2 linked regions of the Neodiprion lecontei genome follow. The protein of the gene in region 1 purifies or fractionates together with the protein of each later gene. This does not show direct contact. Links are inferred from orthologs where the notes say so. Each region holds a gene or a part of one and is shown on either strand. Other genes may lie near its edges.

Region 1 (10,211 bases):
ATATATGCGTAAGGAATTAAGTATTTTAACTTTGAAAAAGCTATATTGGAACTTGGAAGTTCTGTACGTAAATATTTTTGCAGCAATTTTGGCAGCATTTATGCTCATGTTTTTCTTCTCGGCCACATGGGCACTCGGAACATTTGTCGTTCGCTCCGGACTAATGACCAGATTTTTAAGGAGAGATGTGCCCGAAGTTCAGAGTGTGAGTGGATATTTTCAAGAGAAAGTGATTTATAATACTTTGATATTACTGATGTTTGGTATTTTATATTTCAGGATCTGGGAAGACTGCAGGAAAACGAATCTTCACCTAGGCCTATAGAGAGGGTGACCAGATTTAGCACTCGAGCGAAATTTTTGGACACCTTTCGTGGGTAACGTATAATTATATAATGGGGCATTCAATAAATAATGGCAACTCAACCGATGAGTTTCCTTTTTTTTTTATAACATTCTCCATTTTCAAAAAAGCATTCCTGAGTTTATTTAAATATTTTCCTACAACTATTAATTTTTTATAATTATTCAAACTAATCTACAAATTAGCATTATTTAAAAATCAGAAAAAATTCTGAAAAATTTTATTTTTCATTTCGATTATGCAGACATTGGCCCACGATAGGGGGATTTTTTTCGATTTATTTTCAGCACTTTAAACATCTTGAACAAACAAAACACTGTGTTACAACGTCCCAAAAATGTTTAACAAATTTTTTAAACTAAGCTTATGTGTAAGGGCAACCAGTTTCTCCTAATGTAATTTGTTTCGAAGGAATTTTTTCCCAGTATTAAGATTTTATTGATAATATTCAACAACAGTGGGGGTAAATACTGGTTTTCAAGTAAGACTAGTATAAAAAATAAAATGATTACGAAGCACTCTGTTAGGTACAAGAATCTCAAATTTAGCTAATGGTTCAGGTCAAACCGGTTTTTCCTCATGTAATTCAAGGATGAATTTTTTTCCCAGAATTGCGATTTTATTGATGATATTCGTCAACAATGGTGGGGGTAAATACTGGTTTTTCAATCATAGCCCATGGAATGGAATAACACTGGCAGACTTGGTGTTGCCATTGTAAGCATGAAACAAACCTCTACAAATATTCTTGTTACTTTCAGTCGAAGTACTTTTTTTGATGATCTCCAATTTTGTGATTGATTTTAGCTTTGCATGGATCATGGGATTCACCATAATAATTTCACTGCGTACCCAACTTAGGATATCTATATCCCGAAGCAGGATTATTTTACGTTGTTTTTGTCGATCTGTAACTTTGATATTTCTTGGCCTGGTTATCAACTCACTAACCAGAACAACTGAGAATTGCGTAATTCTGAAACTCAACGATCTCAGATTTCCAGGAATCTTACAATTATTGGGAGTATCGTACTTTATCTGCGCGACGCTTGAAGCTATATTCACCAAGGCGCAACGAACTTTTCAGGTTGGCTCTAAAACTGGTTTTTGAACTGATTGTTTAATATCTATGATGAATCATTAGTCGATCTGCTGTGATGTTTATGCTAATATTAACAAACCATTGATGAGGGAGGATTCTGTTATTCGCAGTATGACCGACTAAAATTTCTCCAAGACATTTTGGATGCTTGGGCGCAGTGGTTGGTTATTATTGCCATTGCAACCACACACTTGCTCCTGACGTTCCTTCTACCAGTTCCTGGTTGTCCAAAAGGATACTTAGGACCAGGTGGACTTCATGAACATGGAGCACATGCTAATTGTACTGCAGGAGCAGCTGGATACATCGACAGAACTATTTTCGGTAACCATATATATATGAAAAAGTCCGGAGTTTATGGAAAACACCCACCCTATGACCCTGAAGGTTCGCACATCCAATTATTGACTCACGAATGTATCGTTGTTACATACCTACAAAGTTCAGACTGCTTATAATGTGCTCCTTCTTATCTCTCATCTAGGAATTATGAGCACCATTTCAGCTGTGTTACTGGTTTATATGGGTGTTCAAGCTGGTAGAATCATGCTAACGTACCACCAAGCAAAGTCCCGTGTGATTCGTTGGCTTTTGTGGTCTGTGGTTACGGTAAGATTACAGCTATTGATCACAGATATACTGAACTCTGAAAAAAACCTGTATGAATTATTTATTATTTTATGCAGGGTATTTTGGCTGGTATTTTATGTAACTTCAGTAAAGAAGATGGTGTTATTCCTGTGAATAAATCGATGATGTCGTTGTCTTATGTGCTCGCAACATCTAGTATAGCATTTGCCATGAATACAATTCTCTACATTCTGATTGATCTTCAACATTGGTGGAGTGGAGCTCCGTTCTTTTACGCAGGCAAGTTACCAACTTTTCTGGTATACTTTATTCTGAATTGTTTTGCATTAAAGTAATACGTGTTGATTTCATTCACTATTTTTCAGGTACAAATGCTATATTCTTGTATATGGGGCATTACTTTACGATGGGAGTATTTCCTTGGACCTTGACGATTAATGGAGTTAGGACGCATGCTAATGTATTATCACTAAACTTGTGGACCACGGCGCTTTGGGCCATTATTGCTTATGTGCTTCACAAGAAAGAAATTATTCTCACAGTATAGACACAACCCTATCTATTCCACAGTTGAGAAGAAAGTTTTGGAATTTCTTCAGCTCAGAATTCCAAACCATTGGTCAAATAATTAAGTGGAATGAAAAAAATGATAATCTAATTTTAAGCCTGTCGTTTTGGGCAATATACACCCACTGTTTGTACTAGCCCACATGTATAATTTACTTTAGCGACTCGTTCCAATTAGTAAGAATTAATTTTTGACAGAAAAGTGTTTGAGTTAATAACCGACCATGTTCGTCAGATTCATTCAAACTGGTTTGACTGATTTTGGCATTATAACACGCTAAGCATGGCGTCAGTCTCAGGGACTGACAGTGAACTTTTTGTTAGGCGAGCGTCGGGTCACGATGTAGTCTGAACGGAAAGCACAGCAAAATCGGCCCCATGGTTAGCGTTTTAATCGACGATACTTATGTTAGATGTAATTATTATTTTACCGCTTTGGACAAATCCCATTTAATTTGGGTAAATGCTTGTTATTGGTGTTGTAGTTTGAGTAAAATATAACATATGTAATTTTATGTTATTCTCCAACACTATTTACATATTCATACGCATGCATATGCTTGCGGTGCATTTTTAGTTTTGTTATAAATATTTTGTTTCAACCAAACTGTTAAAATGAGGTGTGGCATCTCATGATACCGATAATTACTATTGACCTTTCAGTAACAGAGATATAAAGAGAATAGGCTAAGAATTGGACCAATTCAGTTTATATTAAGATATAGTTTCTATTTACGCATTTCGTTTTGTGATACAGAATATGGCTGAAAATATTAGTATTTAATAATTTCATAACAATATAGATCTCAACGCTAATGAGGTCTTGTATGATTTCTACCCAGATATATCGAATTAATAAAGAACGTTATATACATATACGTATGCACTATGTTATGATGCGCATACTTTCATGGCCTGGAATTATCACATTTTGTGAATCTTTGGCATTATGAATTCCTCTCTTCCGGTTTTTTGTATGGAAGTCCAAGTTTACTGAAGATATCCTCTTCACTTGTGATTAATTCAGCATTCCCTGGTAACCCTTTAATAGAAATTGTAAAAGGGTCGATTAATCTAAACTTTAAAGTTGATTGCCGGATTTTGCATGTTGATCCGTACCTTCCAATGTTAGATGTTTCAAGGTATACTCGTTCAACGTAAATTTCTTTTTAAGTGCGTGTGCCCGCATATTTTTATTGAATAAATCACTGCCGGTAAAATATAATACGGCACAGTAGTAGTGATCGCTGGGAGTAACTCTGATATCAAGTCGGCGAAATGGTTTACTCGATTCTGCTGGATCTCGGCAAACACCCTGTTTGAAAGCAATTCCAATTTTGACAATGCTTAAGTCTGTGTTGATGCAAATCAAGATATTCTTTGTTAATATAGCTGCATACCATAAACTTTGTGTTGCCGATAGAGATAGTCTCTGTGATTATTCCCTCCTTTTCAAGATGTTTAACAATATTTTTTAGCATACCGCCTTTATTTTTCGCATCCATACTTTCGGATGTGAATTTTGGATGTGTTATCAAGACGTCAATATCGCCGCTCTCATCCTTTCCACGTCTATAACTACCACAGATTGTAAGTATATACTCTTTGTCTAAATTAGCAATCACTGATTTGAGACTGGTCTCGAGTCGCCGCACCTCTTCCCTTGGAATTTTCTGTTCAAAATCTTGAAAGTACCTGCCAAAAATTGGAAAAAATTATTGCAAATACATCATGAGGAAGAAAAAATTTGAAATAGCTTGATTAAAAATTGTTTCGAGATTACGAAAATGGTAGGGAAGATTCCAAATGTAGTAAAAATCATACTTTAAACCAATTTTCTGATGATGTGTTAATTTATCTTGGTTTTTTCTCAGGTCTTCCAAAGTCTTTATACCAGCATCTACCAATTCCTTTGCCTTCGATGGTCCAATTCCTGATACCCTGGTCATCAAGTTTATAGGAGCACTGATGCCATCAGCATTAATCTGAAAATGACAAATACAAGGTTAAATCCTAATACAGCTGCGTTATGAAATTTCATTGTTCTATAGAGTTTAAGGATATCGATATTGACCTACACATGTTACTATAGATTATGACTGATGATAACTTACTTTTTCAAGTTTTTGTAATTTTCCGGTTTGAAGGAACTCATCAATTTTTTTTGCGATCTTCTCTCCAACCCCTGGCAACTTTTTTGCCTCTTCACCATTCTTCACTCGGTATGATAGTGCAGCCAAAGTTCCAGCAGCTTTACGGTAAGCGTTATATTTGTAGATGTTTTTACTGACATTCCGCTCGTAATTTGCTAGCTCTGCAAATTTTTTCATACATTTTCACTTTGGATAAAATGATCATCAAACTTTCACCCAGTAAGTGCGCGTCAAAGTTCAATGAAACTGAGGCGATGTATACCTATCAGAAAATCGGAGAGATCACTGTTTAGATTGTCTGCGTTGTCGGGTGCCTTTCGTTTGCTCATCTTTCTTGTATTTTGACAGGGATCTCAAAATTATTAATCGCCAATCGCCGTGAAAGCAATAAACGAACTGTCAAATTGGAGTATAACCTCTACACTTTTCAATTGCTACCAAAAGCTGCAATTTCGTAATCTTCTGCTTTTTTCCTGTCGTTGTGCCCTTTTCAGGAATATGAAAATACGTAGGTTTCGACAGAAGTGAGATGACAATTGTATACACGAAAGTATTTGTCGGCGAGGGCGGCTAGGGATACCATGATAGTACACGAACCGTAGAACTGTAAGCAATACTTGTTGTCGGCACCACGGAAGACCTTTGGGAACATTTACCAACATACACTATCCGTAACAGAATTACAGAAGCCCTGTGGCGATATCTACTTATGTCCACTGTCGGTAACAAACGGCAGTATGACACTGTTGGTTGCTGATGATACGGACAGCAGCGCTAAAAAAATATTCATTCAAACACTTAATATCGAAAAAAGTGGATCCAACTTGACATGAAACTAGAATTATTATTGGAATTACAGCATTTGAAGTCGAATAATTGTTATCACATAAGTGAAACTGCTCTTTAGTTACAATTTTTATGAAGAACCACTGCAGCTTATTCGAAATTTATTTTATTTTGAAAGTTCACTAATTAGAAAGTTCCTATTTACTACGTATCTCTTAATCTTTCAGTTGCTGCCTCCTGTCAAGGTCAACCCCAACGTGGAGTTGTTACGACCAAAGCTACGACAGTGTCCTACGAGTTTATACGCTATATTTTGAGGAAACGAGTTGTACAGTAGCATACAGCTGACTGTGAGAACATAGTGTAAGGATTTGTGACTGGGATGCGTGTCAAAACGTGGAATTATCGCGCTTTCATGTCTTATAATGCGTGATAATTCTTATTTAACGTATCGGTGTATTGATGGGTTGAGACCGCAGAGATCGTGTTAATCTAATCTCAATATCGTCAAGTACATATTCTTGTGAGAATAATACATGCAATCGATGAAATGTATAGCGCTATAAGCGAATACATCGGCTGCGACATAATTTTTTGATTACCGCGTCAGAATCGTCCCGACGGAATGTCTGTTGTCTTAAATTATTAATTGTTCGGTATCAGAGTACCGCGGTGGCAGCATTATTGTAGTAGTGAGTTGAGACAAATCGAAACATTATACATGAATTAATTCAACTGCGACGCCGTGGCCAGCAGTCGCCTTCACCGTTGCCACAGTGAGCAATCATTTAGTACTAGACGGCAGCGCCACATCGTAACAGATTTGGCATTTTCTTACTAAATTGGCGGTCGCTTCAAATAGAGTACATAATAAATACGTAAACACGTTAGCGTTTTATTGTTTTTTTCTTTTTTTTTTCATCTCATACGAACATCACAGTTTTGATTTATAGCGTATCGTATGAGTCACAGCTTTGACTTATAAAACTATACAGTAAAACAATAGTTTTTATGTACTCTTACACCACTGCTTAAATATTTTGAACACGATTTGCGCGGAATTCGTCGAAAACATTTCGTCGATTAACAGATCGTCCAACCCAACACAACTCAATCTACAAAATTGTCATTTAATGAATTGGTTGTTTGCCTTTGTTACTCGACGCATTATTTTTTCTCAACAACAACGCAACATTCTCCAGTCTCCAGGTGGCGCGATAGTCAGGAGTTTACTTTTCCAAATGAGGGTTTCATACGTTTCTGAGTCATTTTCGTATTCGGGTACTGAAATTGAAAAATGTAATAAATACTTTAGAAACGTATCAGATTTAGTACAATGATATTAAACTAGTGACGTTCGTCGCTAACAGTCACCAGCGCGATTATCGCCGTTTATCGTCCACAACCCGACGTTCGTGACACTCGTTTTGGCGTCGAGACGCCTCGGTAAAGCTCGGCAAGCATCGCAGGCCAATCGATAGCCGGTTCCCGGAAGGTTTCGGAGGGGGGGGGGGGGGGGGGATGTCGTCAGTGTCGCCACACTCCTCAACGGATCCGGCAGCCCGGCACTACTTGCCTCCCACCGCTGAGCTTGGTCTCTGTTGAAAGTTCAAGGAACGAACGCGTCTACGGGCGCGGCTTGCGTCTCGAAGTGGCGTTTTACGTGGAACAATGTCGTCCCTCGACTATTTGGATTTGTGCAGATTGTGTCTAATGAAAGATCGTGTGTCCGTACCGATATTCGAGGGTGAGGGTGATGTCAGGCAGATTTTTTTAAAGATTGCGGCCTGCTTGCCGGTCAAGGTAAGCCTACAAACTACGCCATCGCTCTATGCCAGCCAATATACGGTCGCCATTTTGTCACGGTTATTGTTTCCTACCATTTACAATGAATTTATCGATTCCGTATGTATCGAGTACACAGCGTGGTTCTCGATCACTGTTCCCGCTATTACAGTTTCTTATCTCGCACGTGAAATGCCGCTTCGGTGTTGCTGTTCTGTGGTTGTAAAATCGATCCTTCTTTTTCTCTGCTCTGCAAACCCCCCCCCCCCCCCCCCCCCCCCTTCTTCGCCCTCCCTCCTTATTGCTCGTGCCGCGTCGTTACGGCAGGCGGTCCGACGCCATTCCTAACAAAGGGACGCTACGGCGTCCCGGACTCTATTCCTGTGAATTATGTATATAATTCTACTTTAATTGGCGAATGCTGTTCTAACAACTATGATATGTACAAATAGATGAATACAGACGCGATTCTGAGCGAACTGCATTTTACAAATGAATTTTATTACAGGTTGCACGGGAAGACAAGTTACCTAAAAAGATATGCGACGATTGCGTTTACAAAGTAGAATTACTTTACCAATTTTGGAATACAACGGCAAACGCCGAGAAGCAGCTACTCCAATGGCTTGGCGAAGTTGGCTTGGAGGACAAGCAAGGCTATGTCACTGGTGTCCTAAATCCGGTAATTTAACTCATCTGCCCTAAACACAACAATGTTGCTTCAGTTTGACTGTGTTTGAAACACGAAATCGAACACATGACAATCTCATATTTACTCTTCTATTTTTTTCTTGTTTACCTTGACAATCGTAAACAGTGACCACAATATTTTGGACACGTATGTTTATACTCACTTAATTAAACTATTAATGCAGTATAATTGTTGAGATACATCTTCTGCCAACATTAGGGTACAATTAATATCAAGTTTATCTTTTTTTATTGGCAAGTGTACTGGGTTGTTCATTTGAATGGCTTATGTTCATTTAAATTTTTGTAGTTTTATTTTGCACCAAACTTTTTACTATGCAATTCGAAAATTTTATCAGTGGTCTTGTATTAGACATGAACTTTTAGAGTGGCAAAAATTAAAAGAGGTGTTAGATCAACATGTATGTAGAGAGATCGTGACACTGCTACTGAGAACGTTCTTTTAAATACAAAATAAATTTTATCGAAATATTACAATCTTTCCCAAATAGGTATAGTATCTGCGATCTGTTTACAAACTCAATCAAAAGCTTGTGCAGGCATTTAGTTTCACATTCAAATCTAATTAACCCTAGTTAATCATTGTTGGTTATCCATAATACATAGTTTTAACAGTATGATTATGACTTTTGTTCGCAGAGTACAATGAAACAAGAAGAAAACAGTTCCAGCGGATTGGGAGGCACAGCAATACAGGTGACTGGAGTTCAACCTGGCATTGGTATAGGAGTTATAGACAACATGGGACTAGGCATGCCGCTAATTATTCCCAGCTCAACACAGCAGCAATTAACTGCTGTGCCAATGGATACAAGCACTGGACCCATCCAACCTATCCAACCTATCCAACAGGCTGTACCTGGTCCAAGTAGTCAACCTGGACATGAACAGATTGCCGAGTCCCAAACTAATGCAACAACGCATCAACAGGACGAGGAAGAGGAAACTAGCGATGATGAAGAAAACTCTGACGATGATTGCGATGGTGATGATGGTACACGAAGAAATTCATTTAGTTTGCCTAATAGTTTCAAAATTCCTAGAATAAGCTCAATGTTTTTTGAACTTATTTCTAATCTTAATAACGTACGTTGTATTCAACTGACAAGTATGGTGTTCTGATTTAATTATTGATTTCGAGTCTGTGTTTAATTTGAACATTTTGATTTTAATACAGGTCTACCTGTCAAGGAAGAAAGCGAGGAAGATCCTAGTAATAGTAGAACGATTGAACCTACGACGTTTGTAAATGTATCCCTGGCTTGCGACGAAGCGGGTCCGTCCGGCTTGCAGCAGCAAAAAATCGTGGAAATGCCAGAAATGGCTATGCCCCAGACAACCGACGGTGATCCCAAGTCTGGGTGAGTTTTCCTATTTTTTCTTCACTGCCCTTGCCATTGAGAGCCAAAGGTGTTTCGTTGTGAAATCCACAAACATGCGCAAACACTCACTCTTCTAAGTAATGAGGTTGTTTATTTTTCTGAATGGGATTCTGATGGGATATGTATTGGAAACTTTTTTTTAATCATCTTTTCAAACCGAATAGGTTTTTCTTTTGTACTTTCCATGGTTCGTGTTAATGTAAAATTGCGATCAAACAACCTAGATGGGTACTCTGGAGAGTTAGTCACCTTTTAATTGTTAAGGTGCACAGGGCACGAAATGAATTGTGTCCACCTACACACCTCACAACCATCTTTGGCTCAGGCCTTTAGCAATTTGTTCAGTTGGAAAATACTCAGTTGAGAAAAAAAAAAAAGATTATGATTATAGCAATGCTTTGTACTTTTTTTTTTTATGTGTCGAGTCTGAATTGTGTGCTACAAAATTAATATTCAGGCAATTAATAAATTGGAACTACAAATTGCTAGATGCTTTTTATTATAACATATATGATGTATGCGTAGTATAAGAGCATGTTTTTGTATGCTTATATGAAAGGAAATCCGTTGCTATACAGCATAAATAATGTAAACCACAGATTGTTGGTCAAAATTTATTTTTGATCGGGTATGAGAATATTTCAAATTTATGTAAGTTGATGCTGTATATGTGAATATGCATATTCTTTCATAAGGGTATACTCAGTTCCCTTTTTGTTATTTTTCTTTCGATGTTGAAATTCTTGTTTCATGGACAGAGAAATTTCATG
Region 2 (10,027 bases), on another chromosome or scaffold:
AAAAAAAGTACAGAATAAATAGAGAAATTTTTAAAAATAAAAAAAAATAAAAAAAAAACTAAAAAATAACAAAAAACAAAAACGAATGGTAGAAAAGATGCGAAAATAAAATATCCCGGAAAAATACAAAGAAAGGGGAAAAAAGCTTGGAAAAAAAAATGAACAACTTGTCTTTAAAAAGAACCCTGCGGCTCTCTTGCAATCTCAAAATGAACAATCTTCCGACACCTCGAAAAGAAGGAATGTCTCTCTTTCTATTTCTATTTCTATTTCTATTTCTATTACCCCGTTCGCTATTTCTCATTCACCAACCGCATTTACAAAATTTCGCATTAATTGTGCACGCACGTTAAAACGACAGCAAGACAAATTTTGGAATAAAAAAAAACCTATCGCTTTTACATGCGTAATGGTATTATACATATAAAACCATACGCATGTATAACGATAAACAATTTAAAGCCTCGATTATATGCATAATATACCCACCTATCACACCTAGATACCTTCCACATTGATTTATTATAACAAATACCAATATACACATTCACACACACACAAACACACACGCACACATACATATATATGTATGTATAACCTAACATTAGCAGTGTACGCAAGTAATACCGTCAAAATTTGTGGAAATCACGTCGAAACCACGGGAAAAATACCGACGTTCAAATTTTTTCTCATACCTCGTTTTTTTCGTTTTTCTTACGTTTTTCTCACGTTTTTTTTTACCTAATTGTCTGATATCAAAAATTTCCGACAAACGCACGAAATAAAAGCTTAAGAAGCCAACCCCCGTAAACTATATACAATATCCATACACACTACATGTACGTGTATATTATATGTGTATATATATATATACATATATATATATTTCGTGTGCTCGTAAGTATATTATACATATATAAGTTTTATCGCACGGTAGCATAATCATATGCGTAAAGTTTAATTGTGCATATTTGAAGTGACGTGAGTCGTAACTTGATTGAGAGCATAAAATCGTTTGGAATTAACGGGAGCGGAAGAACAAAAAAAAAAAAAAAGAAAAAAAAACCAAAGATCGATTTGTTCGTTATTTCGCGACGTTAAACAATAATATTGTTACAGTGAACGTGAATGGCATGCCAATTTCAATCGCTGGATTAATTTTGATGCGCATTTCTCATATCGCGCCATTACCGTGGTTAATATATATATATATATTTTTTTTTTTCTACTTCACTATTTCATCATCCTAGAATATTTATTTGTAGCACGAATTTCGCTAAAATTTCACAAAACAAATTTGCGAACTCGAAAACGAAGATCGTACGAGACAAAAAAAATAAAAATATGGATTTTCATCGCAATTATTAATAATATTATTATTGTTGTTGTTGTTAAAATTATTATTATTATTATTATTATTATTATTATTATTATCATCATACGTATACTGCACGATTCGTAAAACGCACACATCATTATAGAAATATATATAATGAAATTATAATATACCATCTACACGAATATTTTTAAAACGAAAAAAAAAAAAAAAAATTCAAAAAAAAAACCGTAATAAGACCGTCTTGTATTGAATTTTGATGCGCAGGCTGTCGCAGATACGTCCGAAAATCCGATCACTCAGATCGTGGATCTCTCTTGGTCCAAGAACCATCAGCACTTTACCTGCACACCGGCCTATCTCCTAGATTTATATACATACAAATATATATATATATATATATATATATACATACACACACACACATACACACAATATTATGATACAATAGTGATTAGCAAATTATGATAACAATGATAACAATGATAACAATGATAACAATAACAGTTGGAGAGATTTCAAGAATTATATATTCAACTCGTTACCAAAGAACGTGAAGATTACATAACAATACCGATATATACACACGCGCTTACACACATATACAGTGCATGTTGTGCAAATGTAAAACAAATACACAATGCAAACGATTTGATGTTTTGAAAAAATTTTTTACTTCATACTTCATTTTCCAACAAAACTTGGTTCCAGCCTTTCATTTTTTCGATTCTCTGCTAACTTTGATTAAAAATCATCTCACTGAATTTCTTCGACTTTCGAAATAAAAATTTTTAATACATACACATGTCTAAAATAAGTACCTGAGGGTCTTGCGAAGAAAACTAGGATATAAAAAAAATATATTATATACATGTATAAAACATAACCGAAACATTAATCCCGGGTCTTGAAATTTGTTGGATGAAGAATTTTTTAGATATAAAATAAGAGACAAAAAAACAAAAATTGAAAGTACATTTGAAGCATAATGCAGTATCGATCAACCTACCTGTAAAACGCGTAAATCTTACGTACGTGATTGCTTGTTCCGTGTCTCTTGTGAAAAATTATACCGATTCTGACGTACGTATGAAATGTGGAAAAAATAACGAGACAACACGCATTCACACGCACACAACAACAACAACAACAGCATCAATTAATTACTGTAAAAACAAAAAACAAAAAACAAAAGAAAAAAAAAACCAACTATATATATTCATTCGCATTTAATATACATATAGTATATTTGTGTTGTACGTGATTAATGATTGAAATTTTAATGAGGAGAAAAAAAAAAAAAAACACCATACACAGATATATATACGAGACCGCGCGTTGAAAATTTGAAATCACGTAAATCGATAAAAAGGAAATCTACTCATACGGGTGCGTGTGCAAAATTATACACGCATATCGCGTATGCATATATACATACATATATTTTCCATGCATACCTGACCATACCTGCGAAATGATTTTGTCGAATCTCAATGAGAAATTTACGCTTATTAAGTTATTTTTAATCATTTTTATCATTCCCCCCCCCCCCGTTATGACGAATATTATATTTAATAAATGTAATATTAATGATTTTGTACGGATGATAGATTTGTTCTGTTCTCTTTTCTTTTCTTTTTTTATATTTATCATCATACTAACAATCTGTAACGAAATATCAAGCGATTGATAACCGTCGTTCCTTATTTATTATATAACGACCGTTCCGGGTCGGTAAACTGTGTTAAAAAATATTTGCAAAAAAAATAAAAAAAAAAAACAATGAAATCATTAAAATCGAATACAAACCCTGCAGAATATCGCTTGTTAGCTGACCTCGAGTATTCTATAATATACCTAATCTATGTACCGTAACACAATAGCCTCTATATATATACATATATATATATCTCTAAATTATATTACCGCTGCATACAAGCAAGGACGTTGCATTTGTAATTTTTGTAATTTATAAAAATTGTTATTCAAGAGAGTTCGAATAACAATTATCTGTAACAATATGACAACCATTAGATTTAGTTTGTAATTTTTCAACAATATTCGGCTTCCTCGAGTAGAAGGAGAAAAAAAATATGGAAAACACGTATCTTCAAAATGTTGTTTAAACGGAAAATTACTGAAGGTGGAATTTGAAAACACGATTTAGAAAAAAGGAAAACAAAAAAAACAAACGATTCTCTGAAAACGACGACTGCAATGTCTTTGAACTAATCGTTGTTATACTAAATAATATAAATTTATATTATTATATTATTGAAAACGTGAAATTATCCTCAAATCATATTTATTCTTTAGACTATTGTAATACGTATAAAAAATATTGTAACGTGTGTTTGCATGTGCGTGCTCGAAGGGTGCAGAGGTCGCCGGGAAATTATTACGTTTAACAAAATTACATTATCACACAATCGTATGGATTTCAAAGGAAAGAGAAAACAAAATAGAAGAAAAAAAAAAAAAGTAAATTGAAATGATTTTTAAACATGGATAATATTAAAACTTAGTTTCGCCGCATAAATATGTATAAATATATGGGCGCTTGGAGAGAGGAAAATTGAAAAAACAATAAGTAAAACATAAAAATAAAAGGGGGTTAATAATAATGAAGAAAAAAGAAATAAATAACTTATGTAGAACTGGATTAGTAATATTGTAATAAACTTGCATGCGAATTCAATCTTTGTGTTGTGATTATTTGACACAAAAATAGAAAAGAAGAGGAGGGAAAAAAAAAAAAAAAACCTACGAAAGAACTGAGAATTCGAAAAACGAAGGACGAAACTTCCGGTACTGTAAAGACAGTGTGGCTTCAGCACGTATCGTCCGATCATACAAAAAAAAAAAAATAAAAATTGAATGCCGCGACGTTTCTTACACTTTCCGCACGTCTATAGAAGTGATCCGCAAAATTATAAACAAAATGCAAAAGGCGACGCGAGATTGAATCGTTCATTCAAGAAACGAATGTAACACATTTATTCACAATTTCTGTTACGTAGAAAATGAGATAAATAAAATTTATACTTTGTAATCGCGTTCAGTATGAGTGACCGTCTGCACCCTTCGCATTCGATTACTGTTATTTATCGACACATAAGTTGTTATTCATTGTTTTTACCTTATTAAAATCTTTATTTATTTAACTTTAATATCGTTCGTTTGTTACTTCGTATTCATTTCACTTAATTTAACCAACGCGTAGATTGTTTGAATATTTTTTTTTTTTTACATTTACCGTTAAATTATACTACTTTGGTTTAAAAATATTTCCTATACATATATATTGTATATTTTTTTAATCAACAAAAGAAAAAGAAAAAAAAAAAAAAAACAAAACAAATTATTACATAAGGTAACCAATACCTAATTACACACGGGTATAACAATCGAGAAAATTATACTTAACGTGTAATGTATTTTTGGTTTTCTCACTTCGAGCAAAGCTTTAACTTATATACGAATACCGTACCTGTTTAAAAATTATTGATTATCTTTGTCTGTGTATCCACACGCATCGATTAGTTAATTAACGCTGTATAAAGTACACTCTGACACTTCGATCCGATGTTAAACACGTTCGTCTGTAATCGCCCTTAAATGCGTTTCAGGTAGAGGAAAAACAAAAAAAAAAAAAAAAAAACAAACAAACAAAAGAGAATTCAAGAGATAAAAGTTTTAAGTAACTACATATACAGTGACTATATAACACAATATTAGTATAAATATATATATAAATATATGAATATATATATATACATGTATAAAAATATATACCAAATATTAGATATTTTAGTGTAACTGAAACAGAATCATCTATATAGCATGTATAAATGTAATTCTATATGAAAGCAACAATAAATTATGTAACAAGAATATACCGCTGACTCCTCGTTCTTTCTGTTCATCAATTTTTCCACGATTTATTGTTAGTTAATATCATCTGTCGTAGAAGCTTTGAAACAACTCTCGACAAGCTCAGGCTTAAAAACTTGCCTCGATGCGGTAATTCTTTCAATAAAACAAGGTGAGTTGATGGGTGATGATATCGAGTGACGGTAAGATAGTAAACTTCAATGCAAATATCGGTATCAGTTTTCTATAAAAAAAAAAAAAAGAAAATTTGATTGGCGGAACGTTGTCAAGTTTAATGTTTAAAGTAAACTGACAGACGCATAAAAAATAAATAAATTTAAAAAAAAATTACAGAGATGTGTCAATAACGATGCAACTAGTACCTATTGATAATGCAATTGTTTTCGTTTCACCGTCTTACAAACAACAAGAATATCGGTAATGCAGCAAACGACTAACCATCAATCGCGCGGCACGAGTGCAGCGGCAAAAAAAAAAAAAAAAAAACCATCCATAAATTACGGACCGTTCGTCAAACGTTGCGTGGCTACGTTCGAAAACAGTGAGACGGAAAGACCTTTCATCCGGTGTGATTGCGGCATGACACGCAATCAGTAACGAGATAAGGATTCAAACAACCGCAGCAGTGATAAAGAAGCAAGTGTAGTAAGATCGGGTTAATTCTGCGTCACAAACAACGCCGAGTCTACGCAGCTAACGAAAACTCGAAACAAACTCTGAAAATGTAAACCTAACCTCAAGCGCCGCGAAACAACGCATAAATACGAAGCTTGCGACTCACCCTCCGCCGTTATCTCACCTCGATTCTTCCGCCCGTCTTTCGTCAACTTTAACGACGTCGTAAACTATAATCCGCATCCGGCCAGTTCACTGAATTCACAAAACGTTCTGACGAGATGTCACATTACACGCGATCGCACTCTCGGCTTTTGTTATTGTTACAGACGCTACCTTACCGACCGGATGAATCAGGAAACAGTCTTACTGGCTGCGACACGACGTGCTTTCAGTCGGTGAGCTTACCTCGTAACGTGCCGCTGGCTCCGTCGATTAACTCGGAACTCGAGCTGCGCTCGATCGATAATGTATGCCTGCTGCGAGTCGTTTGGCGAAAATGTTAACACCCCGTTGGTGAGTCGCGCCACGATCGGGGGGGGGATACGGATTGAAGGGTCTAAATTCATACCTATTGTCAGGATTTTTACTTTTATTGAAAGGAAAACTCTGAAAGCAATTTTAGTTTATCGACTTTATTATTTATAGTTTCAACAATGTTTTAGAATTTTTTTTTCATTGAAATTAAAAACAAAATGGCGGCATCGCGGATATAAGTACCGAACGACTCTGAAACTCTTGTCTTGTCCAACTTGTGACGGATAAAAAATTATTTTACTTTTTTTAATTTATTAAAAACACCGTTTCGGGTACGAGTTTGTAACCCAAATGTGTAACGTTTTCTTTTTCTTATTAATACTATACGATTGTGAACAAAAAATTGTTGAAAAAAAAAATGTATAAACAAATTTTGATATCTAAATTCAAAAAATGTAGCCGCAATATCGAAACGATAAAGTAGTTTTAAAGATTGCGTCAAAATTTCAAGTCAAAATCGAATTTCAGATCCGTAATCAGCGACTCCAAAAACTTGTAATTTATGTACAACAAGTTTACGTGCAGAGGAGCAACTTTCTCGGAAATGAATTATTCCTTCGATTTTCACGATTTTTTTTCGATCAACTTGTTTCTAACAATAATAATTCACATTGAATCGCAACGATAACTCTCGAACATTGAAAACCTATTTTAGTAAGCAATAAAAAAATAGCAAAAATCCACAAAGAAAAATGTTGAAAAGTTCTCTGAACGTACGAAAAAAAAAAGAAAAAAAATAGCTGTAAAATAAGTATGACTGAAAAAGTAAAGCCATGCACCGTCCACGAACAACGCCGAGGCTCTGCAAGCTTGAGCTTTTCGTCGAGCTTTGGTACGGGTTGATTTCGTTAACGGAAGCTGAGTGCACCGCTAGTCCATTTACTGCCCTCGCTTAGGCTTCTCTCGATCTCGTTTACTACCGCGTTCGCAGAGAGTAAAACTACCGTTGTGCTTTTATTTATCTACGCGACTGTTGAAAACAAAAAAAAGAAAACGCAGAAGAAAGAAATTATTCTTCGATAAAAATTTCACCCCTGTGAATAATTTAAGAATTCCGCCACTCTGTGAAATGTTTTTGCTCGTACGACTTGAAGGAAAACTTCAACGTACGGTTGTAATATCAAAGGATCGATTTCTCTGCCCCGAAGATAACGACAAACTTGCGTTTATGCTAATATTTACCAACTCTTTCCATTGATTCAAATCTCCGTTCGAAGCTTTTTCTCCTGAATGGTCATGTTTTACCACCTCACCACTGTATGTAAGAATAACAATAATATAACACCCCGAAAAACGAAGCTTTCATGAATTTCGAAGCGCAGCATCGAATTTTGCATGGAGTCTGACAGTGCTGCCAACTAAATTTACGGTGGGAAAAATTTCAGGAGCGAGAAAAGCTTAATATCACACTTTTCGATTTTCCATAAGAATAACGTAGGATAAATGTTGTTTGCTTCTTCTAGTTTTTTATAACTAGCTAACGAAGCGTCGTAAAAAAAAATTTTGCAGGAAATTGAATGCTCTACAAGAAAAGGTCTCTTGTCAAAATTTCGCAAAACTAACTGTGTCAAAGTTACAGCCTGTCAAAAGTTGAGTTACCTATAATTTGACCTTTTTTGAATATTACAGCGTAGCTACCGGTCTCATAAAAAAAAATGTGCATGAGTCTTTTTTTTTTTTTTTTTTTTTGTGAAGCGTAAATTTTACTTTAAATGGATGTTTAAATTTTTTTTAAAGTGTACAATAAAATTTGCGTTAAGAGAAAAGTGACAAGGATGAAAGTCGACAGAGGTATGAATTGAATTGGAATTAGGAGGCCGACTTTTCCCACAATATTATTTGTGAAAGGAAGGATATCGATTATCGGGTTGGGCTGCAACCCGCAGCAGACCCTTTTCCGTCAGGCGTTCGACGTGTTGCTCCGTCTTTTGAGAAGACGGACGATGATGAGACGGCTGATTGAGAACGAGGACGAGAGGCAGTCGAGTTGGCCTGCCGTTAAAATGGAACATTTTTTTTTTCCCGTTTCTTTTTTTCCTTCTTATTCCTCACATTTTATTTCCCTGTACAAAAGCTACCGATCGGATTATAGTCGATCAATGATGTTTCTGTCATTTTTTTCTCCTTGGTTTTACCTTATTTTACTTGTAAACACACAAATTTACGTGTATATATATAATACACGAGGCATTCCATGACGCGTCAATCAAGATTCTGAGTCGATGTTTCGAATTGGCTTTATAATATTTTTTTCTATCAAAGTACGCGACGAAAAACGCTATCGCAATTTTTTTACTCAATATTTCGACCCAGCGTATCCGAGCCATAATTTAAACACTCTTATAAAATGTAACAAAGTTTTTAACACGTATTAGAAGATGGAAATGTCACAACTTCAAAAGATAAATAAGAAAGATTTGAAGAAAAAAAAAAAAAAATTATTATTCTCGGACTTCATTTTTGAAACAAGAATAAACATAAAAGCTCTTCTAATGGGTTTCAAAAATTTTCTTATATTTTACAAGTCTTTTCTAAATTTTTACAGCTTTTTTTTTCCAAGTCTTTAAATCGTACTTCAGATAAGCTGGGTCGAAAAATTGCGATAAAAATTGCGATTGCGTGATTCGTCGTGTAAGTACTTTCATACGAAAACAAAAATTGATAATTGTGAGATTATTTTTGTATTTTTAAATTTTTTTATTCTAAGCACACTTGTATCCGATTTATTTATTCTCAGTTGGTATTTCTTCCTTCTCTTTAATTGTTCACACGGTCAAACAACGACCCTAAAAATGAACAAAAAGTTTGCAAGAGTTTTGAAAAGCACAAAGCAAAATGAAAGTATTCTTCGTTTGAAATGCGCGAATAATATGAATAGAATTTTTCATCGATTATCAATGATGTTTGTTCTTTTTTTTTTCCTGCGCATCGGTTTTTTTTTCCCGTTTCAAACAACGTTCAGCATCAACGATCAGATAAAATCAGTAATATAAGAGGAATTTCGAGCACAGCCGCACTAAACGTATGAAGAGAAAAATTTAATTTTTCTTTATACAACGTATCGAAAATCGATTATATAGAATTTATGAGAAAAACAGAGCCAAGTTCAACCAACAATAAAATTCAGTTAAATCGTTACTCTGATAATTACACCCGCCACGTGACCGCAATTATGTATCGACGATAAAACCGGGGAAAAAGAGAAAAAACTGAGCGCCATATTTAACACGGTTCCTACGCTTTTTGGAATCTGAAGTTCCCTGATTTTTTCAGTAACCTTTTATTTGCAAACAATAGCCTGCGATTATCATTAAAGTAAAAAAAAAGAAAAAGAAAAAAAGTGACATACATGGAATGTATGAAGTGGTGCGAAGAAACAAAATTTTGAGTGCAATCTTACTTTTTTTTTTCTCTTTCTTTCTTCTTCCTCATTTTTTTTTTTTCTTCTCCTAATATCGACGGTACTTTTTTTTAAGAACGAATTCATTTCTTCGACAGACTGAGAATTTCAATCTCATTTTCGAAATTCCCCAAGTTTTTCCGATTTTCCAGGTTTTCATGCGCACAGCTGGGAGAGGGCCGAGCAATCAATTGACGCAAGACTCGGTATTAACCATCGACAAGTGCTTTTCAACCGCGGGATTA

The links.
Region 2: the proteins of DNA polymerase beta (region 1) and DNA ligase 3 purify together in Homo sapiens (affinity purification with mass spectrometry; 3 studies listed by BioGRID and IntAct, counting the BioPlex papers as one, with this or other methods). This does not show direct contact. The link is inferred for Neodiprion lecontei from reciprocal best matches to the Homo sapiens genes POLB and LIG3.

What each region holds. Positions count from the first base shown.
Region 1 is NC_060264.1:26,377,782-26,387,992, reverse strand, and holds DNA polymerase beta, read right to left. Parts: upstream 5,996-10,211; 5' UTR 5,107-5,995; coding exon 5,040-5,106; intron 4,964-5,039; exon of another isoform or gene 4,955-4,963; coding exon of another isoform or gene 4,939-4,954; coding exon 4,739-4,938; intron 4,610-4,738; coding exon 4,449-4,609; intron 4,320-4,448; coding exon 4,025-4,319; intron 3,940-4,024; coding exon 3,744-3,939; intron 3,667-3,743; coding exon 3,572-3,666; 3' UTR 2,954-3,571; downstream 1-2,953. Other genes in the region: heparan-alpha-glucosaminide N-acetyltransferase, read left to right, coding at 1-8, 84-205, 280-377, 974-1,081, 1,172-1,451, 1,577-1,853, 1,951-2,075, 2,153-2,336 and 1 more; zinc finger protein 62 homolog, read left to right, coding at 7,235-7,366, 7,857-8,030, 8,699-9,053, 9,237-9,420.
Region 2 is NC_060261.1:7,342,477-7,352,503, reverse strand, and holds the start of DNA ligase 3, read right to left. Parts: upstream 6,163-10,027; 5' UTR 6,012-6,162; intron 4,704-6,011; exon of another isoform or gene 1,704-4,703; coding exon of another isoform or gene 1,604-1,703; intron 1-1,603. Other genes in the region: uncharacterized protein LOC107224107, read left to right, coding at 1,604-1,703. UniProt on the Homo sapiens protein: Isoform 3 functions as a heterodimer with DNA-repair protein XRCC1 in the nucleus and can correct defective DNA strand-break repair and sister chromatid exchange following treatment with ionizing radiation and alkylating agents.